Caenorhabditis elegans: one gene and its partner. The protein of the gene in region 2 interacts with the protein of the main gene of each other region in a pairwise test. Each region holds a gene or a part of one and is shown on either strand. Other genes may lie near its edges.

Region 1 (3,758 bases), 950 kb from region 2:
TTTCCACTTTCAACTTTCACAATTATGACTGTCTTGTTCATAACTCCAATATTAAAAGTGATCCAAGAAGAAGAGACATTCGAGAGCGTGATCGATTAATCCCTGTTTTCCACGTGGCAAGAGCTGGGGATCTCCCAACAATGAGAAGATTGTATATGCAAGGAGAAGATTTGAATACCTCTGATCACGATGATAGAACAGTCTTGCATATTGCAGCTACTGAAGGATATGAGACAATGATCAAATTCCTGGTTAATGTGGCAAAGGTTGATGTGGATAAGAAAGATCGTTGGGGACGGACTCCGTTGGATGAAGCTAAATTCTTTAAACATGACCATGTTTCTAGATTTTTAGAAAAAGCAATGAAACGGGTATGTTTAGAAGAAACAACGTGAAAGAATACATAACTGTCCGCTTTTTGGCTGAACTCTATCAATGTTTCCAAAGACGATAGTGACTTCAAAAAAACTATTTCTCGCACTATTGTTGAGCTGTGTAATACAAATAATTATTTCAGCCAGAGCAACACAGAAAAGATTCAGTTTCTTCATTGGATACAGACGATGAGATTGATGATGATGGTTTTCCAGAGAAGCCTTCTTTTACAATTGATTAGTTATTTTTGAATAGTTCCATAACTTTTGCATAAATCAATGAATATGACGTTGTTAGTTTCTCTTCTCTCTTTTCCCCTCTAAAAACATCATATGGTTGTGAACATATTGAGTGATACGTTTGACCTCCAAAAATCAAACAACGTAAATTAAGATCTTTCTATCGTTTGATTTGTTTTTTTCACATAGTTCTAAACAATTTCTACCCTATATAATAAAATATTTCAAACAATGATCGAGATTTGTTATTGTTCCTGAATTTTTGAAATGTGTGTTTTGATGTGATGAATGAAATTTCAGAACTAAAATATGCCAAGCTATTTCGGCTTAAAAAGAAAACAATTGATAAAATGTATGCTCTTATAAAGTACGCATTTTAATTTTTACTACTCGGCATTCAGAGGCAACTTCCTGCCACACTTTGGCAACTTATTTAGTGCCACTATGGCAGGAAGTTGCCTCTGAATGCCGAGTAGTCTTTTATCTTATCTTTGTTTTATAGTGTTTCGTGATCTTTTCTAATTTGTTATTTTCATTCTAAACAATTTTGACAAAGTACATGACGAAAGTTTCAGTTAAAAATTGTTTTCAACTTTTTTTTCTGACCCAATTTTCCTATAGACAGATCAAACAATTTTTATTTCCACAATTTGTGTTTCAATTTACAATTGTTTACTTCAACTTGTTCCGGCAAAACTGAAAAAAGCTGATTTTGTGGAATTTTATAAAGCAAAAAAAGTTGCTGTGCTGTTATTTAGCCGTTTTAGTCAGTAGAAACGTTGGTACTCTATGCACCTAGATAAGACAAATATTTTGCACAAAATCACACATCGGTCTTTTAAAATCGCCCACTTTTCGTTCACATGACCCATCTCGTTTTGCCTCCTCAACTATTTGTTTGTGTTTTACTCCACTTCGTTCGTTCTTTGATTCGTTAGAATGTTTCGTCTATTTTTATTGAATTTTATCAAATATCCTGAAGAGTCAGCTGAATTACATTGGCAACTTTCAATTAAATCTTATTTTTAATTCAATTTCAATTGCAAATAAAGGCGGAGAAAATATAATCGGTATAAAAGGGAGGAAGACCACAAGTTCACAAATTGAACTGTGGATTCATTGTTTAATTCACATGTTTATTTGTTCATCACGAAAGATGTACATCTAACAATTTCTCACTTTTTAAAAGAAATGTTCATATAAAAGTCGGTCCCTACTGATTGCTGTGAAACTTCAAAAGAACAATTACGGTTGAATCTTGACTTGTTTTTCAAAATAAAAAGTGGGGGTAAAATGTTTTTGACAGTTGGCCATGGCTCGTCCTTCTCTCTGCGTCTCTTTTCTCTATGTTACAATTTTTAATCGGCTCCTCGTATTCTTCTTCTTCTTCTTCTTGTTATTCTTCATTTCTCTTCAGATTGGTCACTTCGTTCAAAATGTCACGTAATCGGTGTCGTTGTGTACGTCTTCCAGTGGTTCGTGTTCAAGATTCATCTGATTTACCACAACTTCCAGATGAAATTATTGAAATTATTGTATCCAAAGTTCTTCCAACAGAGGTCAGTTTTTCTTATCATACTTCTTTTGTATATTTTTTCCAATTTGAAAAGTGACTATCTTGCAATATCGTTGTACCATTTTTGATGTATGGTCTTGAAGCCCAGTGCCTCAGTATTGACTTACAGTTCTCAATTTTTAATTTTTTTGATGTGATGCAGAAATTCTTTGAAATATAACTAGGGCCTATTTGGGAAAATGTTGAAAATAAAAACCTTTTTCTTTCAATATTTATTTATTGATATATTCTTGAGTCTGGGGCAAATCTCATGGAAATGAAGAACACGCGAGATAAGTCTCGGATCTGAGTGAAGGTAACCTGAATAAAATAGAAAAAAAATTGTCAACTTAAATCGTTATTATATTTTATTTGTTAGAGCGAAATCAGTTTGTTCATTGAAAATACCAAAGTATTTATGTATTTTTTTAATAATTGTATATTCTTTTTTCAGTTAGTTGCTTATGGTTGGGATCAAGTGAGTCGTTCATTTGGTACTTTTGTCCATCGAACTCTGTGCTCAAAAGTATATTATTGTGCACTTCATGATCCAGTATGGGAACTGTATCAAACAACTCGCAGTTGCTACGGTAATTAGCTGAATAGAAAAATTTAAAAACATTTCAAGTGTTCTTTTCAGATCTCAAAAAATTTGACAAATTCTTGATTCTATTGATTAAGAAATACATCTGCCAAGTGGAGGATATTGTTCTTCCAGTTTCTTTGTTTTCACACAGTACGTTTCAATGAATAATTGGAGTTTATTTTCTGCAAATTTCAGTTCAACATCTTCTCGAAAAACATTCATTTTTGGCGGCAACTAGTGGAACAGCTTGTAACTTCCGTCATCCACAACCTGGAGTTGCATTCACGAATCTAACAAAGTTGACAATTCAAATAGGAGCAGAATGTGGTGGATTGACTTTGTCACATAATTTTGAAAACTTAAAAGCTTCATCTTCGCTTTGCAAAACTCTTCAAGAAATAAATCTTGATATTGTACTTTCCGACAATGAAGATGTCACTTGTGCTGGATTCAGAGAACTTCTACGTTTCTTGAAAGAAATATCTTATAAATTGACTGTATGGAATATACGACTTAGTGATAATACAACTACTGGTCAAGGATGGTCTGGTCCTGCAAATTTGAATAGATACCGTAATAAGATGTTCATTTGTTACATTCGAACTATGATGGACTTATCATTGCAAATAAATCAATTGGAATTGGTCGATAAACGAAAAGCTTCACCGTACATGCTGGTCATGGCCCATGGAAGAAGAACCATTTATATGTTCCCGGAATTTAAAGTTAGTTTTGTTAAGATCTATTGATCGGTATCTTAATTACAAATATTTATGAAAGGTGTGCTGAAAGGCTTTTTGGTTGAGTCTCGCCGCGAGAAAACTTATGGTACATTTTTTCTCGCAACGAGGCCCATCCGTATAAATCCGTACGCCTTTAAGTTCGCGTTTCAGAAATATGTGAAATTACGATATTCATAAACGGAATTTATATTTTTAATTCCTTTTTCAGATATGTCGAAGTTTGGTTATTTGCTATGATATTGGACTTATTGCTCCTGTGT
Region 2 (3,758 bases):
ATAGAATTGAAAATAGCTTTCAAAATAATTATTTATTTGAGGTTTATTAGATCCTTCAGTGAATGTTTTGGCAAATTCGGCAACAACTCCACATTTTTACACCTTTGGTGAAAATTATTAATCTAGTTAGTTAATCTAGTTAATCTAAAATTATGGGTACTTATACATTTAAAAAATTAATTTTTCATTCAAGTAGCAAATTGGTAAAACCTGCTTTCTGATCACAAGCAATAAAATGTAAACCTACTGGTAGCAACTCTACCTATTTCTAAATCTAGAAGAAAATGCAATTGATCAATAAATTGAAACTTTCGCTTTCTTTTTCCTCCTCCTCCAAATTCAAGACTTCCTGCAAATGAAATGTCGTCTCAAATCTTATCTTTTCCACGCCAAGGTTGCCAATTAAAAAACACGTCACAATTATCATCATTTCTATGTATTCAATCCCTATCTGCCTCTTCCAAATGATATTTTGAACTTGAACTCTCTCCTTCTGGTGCCCTTTGTCCAACTGCTCGAGACACACATGTGGCTGGTTTGCAGTAGACACAACGAGAGAATGAGACAAATTCTTCTCTCTTTTTGATAACGAAAAAATGATACGAGACATAGAGAAATCGATGCTTTGAGGATTTGATTTCATCGACATGTTTCTCAAACAAAATACCACATGGTAGACCTCCACGTGGGGTGATTGGCACTGGAATTTGAACTTTTTGAAAAAAAAAACTGTAACATGTGATAAATATTATATCAACTAAACGAAGGAACAAAATAAACATTAAGATAGTGTTCAAACTGCACAATTACGTGATTTCAGTTAATTTAAAATTCCTTCAAGACTTTGGAAACTCTAATAGTAAGTCACGTCAAACTGTGTTATCTTTTGTTTCAAGATCGTCATTAGTAAATACATTTATGATTACTGACTTTCATAGTTTGTAAAAAAAAATAATTGCAGCAAGAACTCTTTGTGAACTTGAGCTGATACATTGTCATGATACTGTTGGCCTACTGTAGTTTGTATGCAGAGCCAGTGGAGATTTTCAAAAAAACTCATCTTATGGTGCTAAAATATAGAAATTTTTATACATCCTTAAATGTTTTCGGAAATTTCTATTATTTATACAACGTTGTAATTACTTAAGTTAGTTCTCTTCTATCCTTTTGGAAGTCGATCAAAATAACATTTTCCACGATTTTTAAGTTTTTACTATAAAAACAAATATTAGTAGGGAGGGATAGGGTCGGGGTACTGTAGGATTAATGTATTTTTGTAGAAACCTCTGTTTCTATTAAAATGTTTCTATTACTAGTATTAGGCCAATTCATGTTAAAAATTAAGATTCTGGTTCGTAGAATGTGACTTGACATTATACAATTCAAATTCCGAACTTTTCAAAAAATACTATAGAATTTACAAATATTCAGCTGTTCACGAAAAAACCATATTTGAGCAATAAAAATTGTTTTTAACCAACATATAAAAACACCACAGAATCCCCAGAAATGTCAAATTTATTACCAAACTTGTGCCAAATACATATTATTTTTTGAAGTATGAAAAATACGCCACCTATCAGTCGTTAATCTTATCTTTTATTTTTCAAATTTCTCAATTTCCCACGCTTCTTCTCATATCCGGTTTTTTCTGCAAAATGGTCTCGTTTGGAGATTTGATAAGAGTGTTTATTCCAGATGTGTACATCATTCAATAGTATCAAACATTGTTCATTCCTTCTTTGCACATCACTATTTATTTTTCTTCTTTTCTTCCGTTTTTAACATCTTGTTTGCCTAATCAGCTACATTCTGTAAAATCTAAAAATAATAGAAGATTAACGTCTTTTTGACCAATGTCAAGAACGTTTTTTTCTTTAACGATTTCATTGAAACTTTCGGCGTGTCGACCGACCCTTCGTTTGACCCCGCCCCTTTCATTCGTTCTTTTTTCTTTTCTCTCCTCTTTCTCTCACACTTATAAATCCATTTGATTATCATTTCTCGACATCAGTCTTCTTATTGCAGCCTGTCTCAAGATTAAAATGGCTACTTTCCCACACTTCGGAACTGCTGCTATCCACGTTGGACAAGAACCAGAGCAATGGGATATGAATCAGGTTTGTCATAGGTATTCTGAATATAAATACTGAACTGATACTTTTCAGGTGGTCCCGCCAATCAGCTTGTCCTCGACCTACAAACAGGATAATCCAGGAGAGCCAAAGGGACACGATTATTCTCGTGCTGGAAACCCAACTCGTGATGTTCTTCAAAAGAATCTGGCTGCTCTCGAAGACGCAAAACACTGCCAAGTGTTCTCTTCAGGACTTGCCGCAACTTCCGCAATCATCAATCTTCTCAAGTACGGAGATCATATTGTGTGCTCTGATGATGTCTACGGAGGTACTCAAAGATATATCCGCCGTGTTGCTGTTCCTAATCACGGATTGGAAGTCGATTCGGTTGATTTGACGGATGTTCAGAATCTCGAGAAAGCAATCAAACCAAATACCAAGATGGTTTGGTTTGAATCTCCATCTAACCCACTTTTGAAGGTTGTTGATATTGCCGCAGTGGTCCAAACTGCAAAGAAAGCCAATCCAGAAATTGTTGTAGTTGTTGATAATACCTTCATGTCTCCATACTTCCAACGCCCAATTTCTCTTGGAGCGGATGTTGTCGTTCATTCAATTACCAAGTATATTAATGGACATTCTGATGTTGTTATGGGTGCTGTTATCACTGATAATGACGAGTTCCAACAACATCTTTTCTTCATGCAACTTGGTTAGTTTACTGTGCTGTTGTACGCAGTGAAATCTAGTCGTATAATTTTGTCATTTTGAGGCATAGATACGGTAACCGGTCTTGAAGCTAGTGAAACTTGGCAGCTACTGTATTCGCAAGTGCTTCGAATTTTTTCTTAACGGTTTTCACTGAATTTCAATATTAATTTCTTCGTGTTTTTCTAGAAAAGAAATCAGTTTCTCTGCTTTAGAAATCATATAAAATACATTGGAACTATAAAAAAAATTGCTAAATACTTGTGGGTACTGTAGAAGCAAAGTTTCGCTCATATCGAGAACATGTACCTTGAGTCAAATGTCGCAAAATTATAAAACTGTTTAAAATCTCATTGGATAGCTAAATTAATCGTTAACTCAAAATTTTAATGCTATTATTTTCAGCCGTCGGAGCAGTCCCATCTCCATTTGATTGCTTCCTTGTTAATCGTGGACTCAAAACTCTTCACATCAGAATGAGAGCTCACTATGAAAATGCTCTTGCTGTTGCCAAATACCTTGAAGCCAATGATCGTATCGAATCAGTTCTCTATCCAGCTCTTCCATCTCATCCACAACATGAAGTTCATGAGAAACAAACAAAGGGAATGTCTGGAATGATCTCATTCTATCTTAAAGGAGAACTTCAAGAGAGTCGTGCTTTCCTTTCTGCTCTCAAAGTATTCACTTTGGCTGAATCTCTTGGAGGATATGAATCACTTGCCGAGCTTCCATCTATCATGACTCATGCTTCAGTGCCTGCTGAAACTCGAATTGTTCTTGGAATCACTGATAACCTTATCCGTATCTCTGTTGGAATTGAAGATCTCGATGATTTGGTTGCTGATTTGGATCAAGCTTTGAAGATTGCCATTCCAAAAGTATAACTTTTCAATCATTTTATGATATGCATTTGTTTCAAATCTGAAAGCCGGTACTAGTTTTAATTGCCCACTCGTCTCCACCACAACC

The links.
Region 1: the proteins of cth-2 (region 2) and DH11.2 interact in a two-hybrid assay, tested with the Caenorhabditis elegans proteins (one large-scale study listed by BioGRID).

What each region holds. Positions count from the first base shown.
Region 1 is NC_003280.10:8,010,785-8,014,542, forward strand, and holds the start of DH11.2 (F-box domain-containing protein), read left to right. Parts: upstream 1-2,031; 5' UTR 2,032-2,050; coding exon 2,051-2,173; intron 2,174-2,623; coding exon 2,624-2,759; intron 2,760-2,809; coding exon 2,810-2,905; intron 2,906-2,950; coding exon 2,951-3,480; intron 3,481-3,706; coding exon 3,707-3,758. Other genes in the region: glna-2 (Putative glutaminase 2), read left to right, coding at 1-371, 518-616.
Region 2 is NC_003280.10:7,056,231-7,059,988, reverse strand, and holds the start of cth-2 (Putative cystathionine gamma-lyase 2), read left to right. Parts: upstream 1-2,028; 5' UTR 2,029-2,045; coding exon 2,046-2,120; intron 2,121-2,168; coding exon 2,169-2,790; intron 2,791-3,191; coding exon 3,192-3,673; 3' UTR 3,674-3,758.